Linked DNA regions of Drosophila melanogaster. The protein of the gene in region 2 purifies or fractionates together with the protein of the main gene of each other region. This does not show direct contact. Each region holds a gene or a part of one and is shown on either strand. Other genes may lie near its edges. The genes, in order: CG10527 and NimB2.

Evidence for each region.
Region 1: the proteins of NimB2 (region 2) and CG10527 purify together in Drosophila melanogaster (affinity purification with mass spectrometry, with the first as the bait; one large-scale study listed by BioGRID). This does not show direct contact.

Annotation. Positions count from the first base shown.
Region 1 is NT_033778.4:21,069,734-21,074,821, reverse strand, and holds CG10527 (uncharacterized protein), read left to right. Parts: upstream 1-2,032; 5' UTR 2,033-2,087; coding exon 2,088-2,097; intron 2,098-2,926; exon of another isoform or gene 2,927-3,018; coding exon 3,019-3,420; exon of another isoform or gene 3,421-3,761; coding exon 3,762-4,240; 3' UTR 4,241-4,454; downstream 4,455-5,088.
Region 2 is NT_033779.5:13,964,427-13,969,133, forward strand, and holds NimB2 (nimrod B2), read right to left. Parts: upstream 2,593-4,707; 5' UTR 2,499-2,592; coding exon 2,080-2,498; intron 1,586-2,079; coding exon 1,049-1,585; intron 971-1,048; coding exon 661-970; 3' UTR 627-660; downstream 1-626. Other genes in the region: NimB1 (nimrod B1), read left to right, coding at 1-30, 109-312, 368-626; NimB3 (nimrod B3), read right to left, coding at 3,061-3,268, 3,325-3,485; NimB4 (nimrod B4), read right to left, coding at 3,917-4,409, 4,471-4,707.

The DNA.
Region 1 (5,088 bases), on a different chromosome or scaffold from region 2:
GCCAGCGGAAATGTTAATTGAATCGAGTTAATGTATTTCACCAATGAAAATATCTCTTAATTGAATGGCAAGCATGGCAATTGATGGCCCAGCATTCCAGAGGTCACTGTGTTATGCAAACTGAGCAATAAAACTAAATGGGAAAGTGTAAACAGATTAAACTTGTTTCGCCAGTTTATCTGAGCAGAATTTTTGGGGGCTCGTCAATGGGAAAAGTGCATTCTGTTGAAAAGTTATCTGAAAGATTAGATATAAATGATGAAATATTTTGACGGCATGCGTTTTATACTTATTAAGGTTAAACTTCAGACGCCTGACTCATAACAAACGAAACAAAGAACAAACTACAACAATGTTTCGCCTAGAGCCTTTAAAAATATTTAAGAAGCCATTTTCCATGCTTCTACTGAACTGACCCAAACAACACGAGTGTAACCTCTTTGTAAAATGATCTAGTACTACGCCACAGTTAAGAACAAATTAAGTCCTTTCCTGAGCAGTGCATTGTTTGTTTACTCGTCTGTCGTCGTGCACAGTATGTGTGTATGTATGTTTATATATTTTTGGCTGTGTGTTCAGCTGTCTCCGTTATAAATACACCAAGTTGCACGGCGTGAGCAATTGATCTACTCTTATCACAAGACAATTTGGCACGGCCACCGGCAGCTGGGAACACAAATAACAATTTGTTTATTTTAGACAATATTACTTCGTGGGGATTTCTGCGCATGCACGTTGTTTCGATATAAATGTAAAAAAAAGTGCGACCAACCGGCGAGACGAAAGAAAACCGACTGACATTGAGAGGCCAAGAAATAAGCAGTGGTGACGTAAAGAAAGATAATCCCGCTTCCGTCACAGGACGGATAAAAAAGCATGGTAAAAAAAAACAGTCTTACCATTTGGCACTCAATTAGAGGGTGACCCCAAAAGTATGCTACCATATGCTGCAACTATACTTTTTTAAATCTACTTCGGCAGCGCAATAAATAAATGATGACCCAATGGGTAATCTTATTATTATTGTTGTCTAGAGTCTAGCACATTATGTCAGCATCAACCATTTTGGACCCTTGCGGTGAAATCATTGACAGTAGCTTTTGATGCCCTGGTTTGGATATCCATGTGACCGCACAATATAAAAGCGGCACATGACGCCAAAATAAGTGACGACACTACTAACGGCAAACGAAGGCGAAACACAAGTTGATCGAATAGAATGTACCCTAGCTGAAATGAAAGTTAATCATATATTTTAGAAGCATTGGAACATCATAGAGTATAGAAGTAAGTCTCTTATACTCAAGAAATTCATTATTTTAAGATCAACCAATTCTTTTAACCAATTTATAGCTCATTATTTAATAGATTTTTTTAGGGCCTTCCTTTTTTGGAATAGGTCACATCATTAAGTGCCTTGCATACTAATTGTACACCTTGCATACAGTAGTAAATAGTAAATATTTATTCGCATAGCGATATGAAAATTATCATGCCCATAGAAAAAGCATTTTAGCAATAAAAGCTTGCTTATGGTTCTGATGACTAAGCAGCAGCTTTTGCCAACCTGAGTCATAGACCTCTTAAGCAAAACTAGGTGACAAAACTACCTTAGTTATACCGAAGCTTACATGCCCTTACCACGAGGTGAAAGTCCAGGGAACAAAAAGTTAAAAAGGAAATTACAATTATCTAATATTGTGCCCATGTACAAAATAGTTATATGTACATTTGTAAGTAAAGAAATTTTTTTTAAAGCTATGCCATTATGCTAGAAATTATCAGCCTTTAATTAAGATTTACATTTAAGAAAAATAATTGCCTTTAAAATAATTAAAGATAAGCCTTAGCATGTGCAGTATACCGCTATGTGAATAAGTTAGCTATTCGAGCTGGTACAGTTCGAATACTTTCTATATGGCCAACGATCTCCCACTTTGCAAGTGAGAGCGCCAAAGCTCTTGGAGCTTTTACTCTCTCACCGTCTCGGTTTTTTAGCATTGCTTACCTCGCCGGCATTTGGGCTCCATTGGGGCAGTTTGAATCAGAATCTCAGTAAGCGAACATCGTTGATTGAAACAGCAATCATGCCAATCGGTGAGTTTCCCAGTGGGTGTGGGTGGAGTGCCCTGAGCAGTTGGATAATGGAATGGATAATTGGGTGAATTTAAAGATAGGGAAATGTGCGGCGGAATTTTTGGCCCACGACCAAAATAGCATTGTGTCGTCCAATTCCTAGAATCGAAACATCCCATTCTTTATCTATGCTGGGTTTTTACCAGTGAAAAATACAAGCGACTTTCACCTTGTGATCGTCCAGATTCAATTAACGGCAATATGCTATACATATTGGACTGCCTTTATTTGGCCTAATTTATGACCCATCGAATTGATTCTCGACCAAAGGTGTCCGAAATTGTTCACCATATGCGATGAGTCACTGGTCTTCGCCTTGAACTCCGACAATAATCAATAGGAATTCAGCAGGGTTGACCCTAGGGAGGTCAGACGAAAGATGCACCTCCAATGATGTCATGCGAAATAATGCTGCTTGAGAAACCATTCGTGTAATCTATTCAAAGTGAATAGCACAAACCTCGCATATATCTGGGCAAATGTTTGTCGCTCGAGTGGCAGTAGAGCCGGCTCAGAGCTCAAAACTCGAAATTAAGCTTGAGTGGAATTAGCTAGAACAATTTGTTGCGAAGAACTGATGGCGATCTAAATGACATCATGCGAATGGTGCTAATAAGCAAGCGAAAACAAAAACAGACGCTAAACATGCTGATATATGTATGTTTATATGTACGTAGAAACCTAACAAACATAAAAATAGCTACGAATTCTTTCCAGTTCAAGTATTTTTTATGACAACATTCTCATGTTTGAGGTTGTTAATTCAAACCTCAAAACTTTCCCACCTTTCAAAGTAGTAGTGGGTACAGTTGGCTCAGAAAAACGTAGCCGAGTGTACAGTTGCCTCTGAGAATTTGTACTAATATGCCATCTCATTTGCAGAAGTCAACACCCCCGATAAGTTGGAGTACCAATTCTTCCCCGCCAGCGGTGGAGTTTTTACCTTCAAGGTGCGTTCCCCCAAGGATGCTCATTTGGCACTCACACCCGCGCCCGAGGAGAACGGTCCCATTTTCGAGATCTTTCTGGGAGGATGGGAGAACACCAAGTCGGTGATCCGCAAGGACCGCCAGAAGCCCGAAGTCGCTGAGGTGCCCACTCCGGGCATCCTAGATGCCGGAGAGTTCCGTGGCTTCTGGGTGCGCTGGTACGACAATGTCATCACCGTTGGCCGCGAAGGAGACGCCGCCGCCTTCCTTTCCTACGATGCTGGTAGCCTGTTCCCGGTCAACTTCGTCGGCATCTGCACGGGATGGGGTGCCAGCGGCACCTGGCTGATTGATGGTGAGTTTACACTCTGTTCCACGCCTTTTCTATCAAACGGAAAGCACAGGTGTTTACCCTCTCTGATTAGTTTACCCATCGTAATGATCTAAGTTAGCTATTGTTCTACAGCTGCTCAATGGCATCTATTGTCTAGTCAGCTGCTTCAGTTTGAATATCGAGTATTACTATACCCGCTACTCGTAGAGTTGGTACTATTGAGTACTGATCAATAACACTTAATTGCTCTCCAAGACTATATCCTTGCTATAAATATGTATTTGCCTATTATATATACATATATGTATAAGATTTGCTAATGATTTCATGAATTTCTAACAAATGCCACTATTTCCTTGCAGAGCCCGCTCCATCGGCTCCCGTCATGGGCTTCGCCGCGCCCACAGGAAGCGGACCAGGATGCTGGGTGCCCGCCGCCAACGGTGAGGTGCCACCCAACGCCCTCGAGGGAGGATTCGACAGCAGCGAGCAGCTGTACATCGCCCGTGCCCGCCATGAGGGCGACCTCATTCCCGGCAAGCTGCATCCCTCCCACGGAGTGACCTACGTAGCCTGGGGAGGTGGTGAGCACGGCCACGCCGAATACGAGGTGCTGTGCGCCGGCGGCGGCCAGTGGTTGCCCGTGGATGCCGGAAACATCCCGCCCAACGCCCTGCCTGCCGGAGAGACCGCCGAGGGCGAACCACTGTTCATCGGCCGTGCCACCCACGACGGAACTATCACTGTGGGCAAGGTGCAGCCCTCCCACGGATGCTGCTACATTCCGTACGGCGGCGAGGAGCTGGCCTACAAGGAGTTCGAAATCTATGTGACCAACTAAGCCACGGATCGAATGTCCAACGCACTGAAACAAAACGTTTTAAATCAGTTAATCTGAGCGCTTTACAGTTCAACTGGTCGCAGAAATTTTATTTTATTTATATGTGCATTTCTACTCAAAACTGTTAAAGAATCTCTATATTATGTCGAAAAGTTTATTACATTGTTCAACGAAATTGGTTAATAAACAATAAATATGTTTAAGAAAATAACATATCTGAAATAGGCACTTATTTGCATTCATTAAGCTTGGAAATAAATATAAAATAAGCTGAATAGCTGCTTTAATTTTTCAAAAAAGTGGTGTGTTAAGATTAGTTGGATTTTGGTTTTAGTGAATCTAACAGTTCTATCGCAATCATTAATCACCTTTTAATCCATTTGTACTCAATGAAATTAGTATCAAACATTCTTTTTTTTTAATAAAATCATGACTGAAATGAAATGACTGAAATCTATAGATTAGTTTAAGCAGGCAATTGAAAATAATTTACTCCCACTCAATGAAAATCTATTCCTAATCTCATTATCAGTGAACCCATAAAACACTCATACAAAGTTAGTTGAAATGTTGGCAGTACAAGGAACATATTGCTATATATATATATATTTATACCAAAACATGTTTTCTTTTATTCATTTTTAAAATGAATGAAACATATCATATTGGCCTATTTACATTTAAATTAAGGGTATAACTGAGTCGGTTTAGTCTATCAACTATATTAAAGTCAGTAACCAGCATGTGAAGTTTTTAGGTCAGCAACTAACCTTTTTATGTTTCTTTGAACACCTGGCTTTGAAATGGCTTTAAAATAATAAAAGTATCATATTTACAGACCCAAAAAT
Region 2 (4,707 bases):
TTGGAATGTATGCGAAGCTGAGTGCTACCTGTAAGAGTATCGATATATCTTTATCTAAAGTATCTTAAATTTGTCCGCCAATTTAAGCCATTTGCTTATCGCTTCCAGGAACTGCGAGAATGGGCTCTGTGAGTCGCGGTACAAGTGTCACTGCCGCGAAGGATATCGCTACGACGTGAACACCACCAGCTGTTTGCCGGAGTGCAGCGACAACTGTGGCCAAGGAAATGGGGTGTGCATTGCGCCCGGAGTGTGCCGCTGCTTCCGAGGATACGAGGTCCACGGTGCCGAGTGTCGGCCAAAGTGTGAGAGGTCTGTTACCCGGAGCAAAAGCTGTGTTCACCTTCATGAAGTTCCGCTTATTCAGCAGATTCTGCGGCAAATACGGGCGTTGTGTGGCTCCCGAAATCTGCGGCTGTGGTGAGGGTCAACAGCATTGCCGGAACGGAAGCTGTGACGATATCGAGCACTGCAGTTGCCCATCGGGGGAAACCCACTTCATCGATCGCTGTTTGAAGGCGGACCGCCTCAGTCAGCATCTCAACACTAGCGAAAAGAGAAAGCACTTCAATCGCCAACTTGCTTATGAGTTTAATGCCCTGATAGGGCGTCTATTTAATTTCTGATCCAAGACGAAACAATAAAGTGCGAAAGTCTAAGTTAGACGGCCTGGCAGGTCTGGCGTCCCTTGATGCCGCTCTTGATGAATCCCGGCCTGCAGATGCAGAAGTTTGGGGCACTGCAGTAACCGTTCTGGCATCCCTGCGGGCAGTGTGGCTGGCAGATGTTCCGCTGGTGCTCGTCCCTCACATATCCGGTCTTGCAGTCGCACTGGTTGTTGCCCACACAGACGCCGTTCAAGCACGGAAGGTCACACTTCGGCAGACACTCGGCCGACTTCCGGTCCCACTCGAAACCGGAAGCGCACTCACAGATGTCCGGTCCAATGCAGCGTCCGTTCTTGCAGGGTCTGAAATAGGGAAATAATTAAATTATCTAAACTATACATCGCAAGCAGATTTCATTGTTTTTTAAAGGCCACACTTACATGGAGCAAATGGGTTCGCAGCGTCCTTGGAGCTTTAGGTAGCCTGCGTTGCAGTTGCAGTGTCCTGGAGCCGTGCACTTGCCATTCTCGCAACTGTCGCACACTGGTTCGCAGGATCCATCGGCGGCCAGGCGGTATCCGTCGAGGCAGGCGCACTTGTTGGGCGCCACACAGCGTCCAAAGGAGCAGCCGGGCTTGCATTCCGGCTGGCAGTACTTACGAGTCTCCGGCTCAAGCGAGTATCCCTCGCGGCACTTGCACTCATTCCGCTCGTCGCACACTCCGTTGCCGCAGCCCAGGGGACAGGTGGAGATGCACTTGCCCTCGGCGGTGCGAACGTGGCCGGGTATGCAGACACAGGTATTCGGAGCAGTGCATATTCCATTCCGGCAGTCATCCGCGCAGATCGGCTCACAGCGGCGGTAGATGTGCGGATTTCGCTCATAGCCATCGCAGCAGACTTGGATGCGACTCATGTCCGGAGTGGTGCCATTGCCAACGAACTGATCCCGCGAATTGCGGAGCAGTGACGCGGTTCTGGATATAAACAAGGAAAACATTAGGTTTACTTAAACAACTTAAAATCATGAATGCAATGACATATATTTTTCCTAGGGAAACTAATAAAACAGATAATCAACATGTCTAAATAATACCTTAGTAAAGATGTGTGTCAAAATTGAAAAATAATTTTGTCCTTTAAAGTTTTAAACTACATATTGTCCAAGAGAATGCAAATGAAACTAGTCAATTCAACTAAATTTAAAAACTTTTCGCTTATCTACTGACTTTCCGCTCGTTGCATATTAAATTCATTCACATTATTAGCTTGGCACACATATACTCGTGAAATCAAGGCGCATTTTAATTATCAGGCCAGCGGAGGAAGTTGAGGTCGTTAGTTCACTATTTTTATGGCTTGCCTTGTTTTCGAATGCCTTCCGAATTGGGCGATAGCTTTAAGTGGAATTATAAAAGTGTTTTCCTCTCGATTGTTAGTATTTTTTGTCCGAAATTAACCCATCACTTACGGAACTTCCTTGTAGCACACACCACTGGCCATGGCAGATCTGGTTTTGTTGATGAACAGGGCCGTTTCATCCAGGACCTGGACACGATGAGCGGGCGGAGTCACCGGCTGCACGTAGTGTCCATAAAGGGGCGGCAATGTGACCGGTTGAAAGACCTCGGCGCGCACAAATCCAGCGGATCCCTGTTCCACATGGTTCTGCTGGTTCCAGGCGTAGTTGCTCTGGTTTTGAGTGCTCCAACCGTAGCTGCTCTGGTTGTAGCTCCTCCATCCCGACTCACTGCTATTGCCGGCAAGCTGCAGGTTTCCCGATGGCGGCTGCCGTGTCTTGATGCCAGCCGTCTTGAATTGTCCCTGACCCAGGGAACAGATGGCCAGCAGAACGCCCAGAGTCACCAGCTGGCACGATGATGACCTCATGGTGATGTCACTTGATTACGGATTTCGTACGTATGGAAATTGATTATGCGCCCACGTCCACGTCCGCTGGCGACTGTAGTTGCACATCGACTAATCGGCTCCCGATGCGAAGCTCCGGATCTCTGAGCCGCCATTCGCCTCCGGCAACCTCTTGTCCCCCTTCTAATCAGCACCTCGCCAATGTACCCATCAATGTGGCAAACGGAGCGAAGGTTTGCTCTCAGTAGCTTCGGGCAAAGCAAATCGATCATTGCCATAAATTGTGAGTCGTAAACAAAACTCATTGCTTTTGGGTAATTCCAAGAAAAGTTTGCGTACAACGATGACTTCAGGTATAGAGATTATTTCTTGATGAAATATCAGATTTAAAGGCACAGAACATAAAAATGATGAACCTTTAAAACTTATGAAGGTTTTTTCAAAAAAAAAATTTAACGTTTCTATGTAATCATGAATGGTCGTAAAAAACAGGTTAATAATATTTCAAATAGTAGAAGTATTGATCAAATAATGATAAAGTAAGCAACTCAAAAAATATTGTAATTGATATTATTTATTTTTGTTATTCCAAGACAAAACGACACCTTTTGTTACTCCGATAGTAACCCGGAGCACACTCGCACTCCTCGGGCGCCAGGCACAATCCATTGGAGCAGTCCTCCGAGCAAATGGGCTCGCACTTCAGGTTCTGGCTTGTTCCCTTATTCACATAACCATCGCAGCAGTAGGAGAACTGACGATTTCTGGAGTTGGGATTGATGGTTTCCACGCTGGGAGTGGGAATTGATCTTGAAATTCGGTCAGGCGTGCGGAATGGTTTACCTACGTGAGCGTCCTGTAACAGATGCCGGATCCCCTCTCGGCCAGAGCCTCTTTTCGCCACTGCGTAACAGGATCCACCGACCAGAATTGTGCGGCAGTGCGCGTGGGCAGCTCGATCCCCAGACCGCAGATAAGGAGTCCAATCAGCGTGGATGTCAAGTGCATTTCGCTCGGATTCAGCTGAAGGCGAGGTCGTATCAAAATGCGAGCGCAATGCTCGCCAGTGTCTCGGAGCTACTAAATTGTCGTCTGTGTCAAGCGCGGCATTTAAGTGTACGGAGATAGAAATGTTCTATATTCCTAGGAAGATAATTATGTGTTCAGTACCCGGTATTCGTGGGGTATGTTGACTATGCAGAAAATAAGTGATATACCAAATAATAAATACCTATTCAAATGAAACAACTTTCGAGAGGGTACCAAATCTTCGACGTACGTTTACAATTTAAGCTAGACTTGCTTCAAAAAAGCGAAATCCCAAGAGATGAAGCCACAAGATATTTCAGACACCCCTGATAAGAACACAACGTCTTGGGAAATGCATGAATATTTATTAGAGACTGCTCAGTGATGCTGGAAAAGTGAGAGCTCCGAACTCACAACCACCACATATCGCTGAGTGTGGTCAAGTTGAAGTGCCTGCCCAGCAGAAGATTGAATTCCTGGATGAGCGATGCGTTCACCTTGACGGGATTCATAGAGGCGTATGTGGTGACCGTGTCCGGCGACATGCAGCGATCGATGAATCGCGTCATGCCCACCTGGCAGCGGCATCTTCCCATGGCGTTGCACAATCCGTACTCGCAACGCTGGTAGGTGCGTTCCGGACCCGGGACTATGGCGCATCCGCACACATTCGGTGCGATGCATTTGCCGTAAAAACCACATCCACCCACGCAGACCGCCTCGCATCGCTCCCGATTCCGGACGTAGCCCTTGAAGCAGCGGCAGTTGCCCGGCGAGATGCACACCCCATTATCGCAGTTGTCCCCGCAATCCGGCAGACAGGTCGTCGTATTCTTATCGTATCGATATCCGTTCTGACACACGCACGTCGTTTTGTTTGCACAGAAGCCATTCTCGCAGGTCCTGAAAGAAATTTATTAAATTATTAAATGTAAAAGGAGAGGCGTCTAGTTCTAACACTCACATATAGCAATCGCCTTCGCAGGTGATGCCGTTCTTGCGTTTTTGGAATCCGGGGAAGCACTCGCATTCGTTGGGCCGCACGCAGTGACCGTATCCGCAGTCCGGAATACAAATCGGTTGGCATCCCAGGGCGGCGGACTCCCTCAGTCCTCGGGTATATCCCTCGGCGCAGGAGCACTTGCCCGGCTCCAAGCAGACCTCGTTGTGGCCACAGGTGGCGTTGCACTGCGGCTGGCAG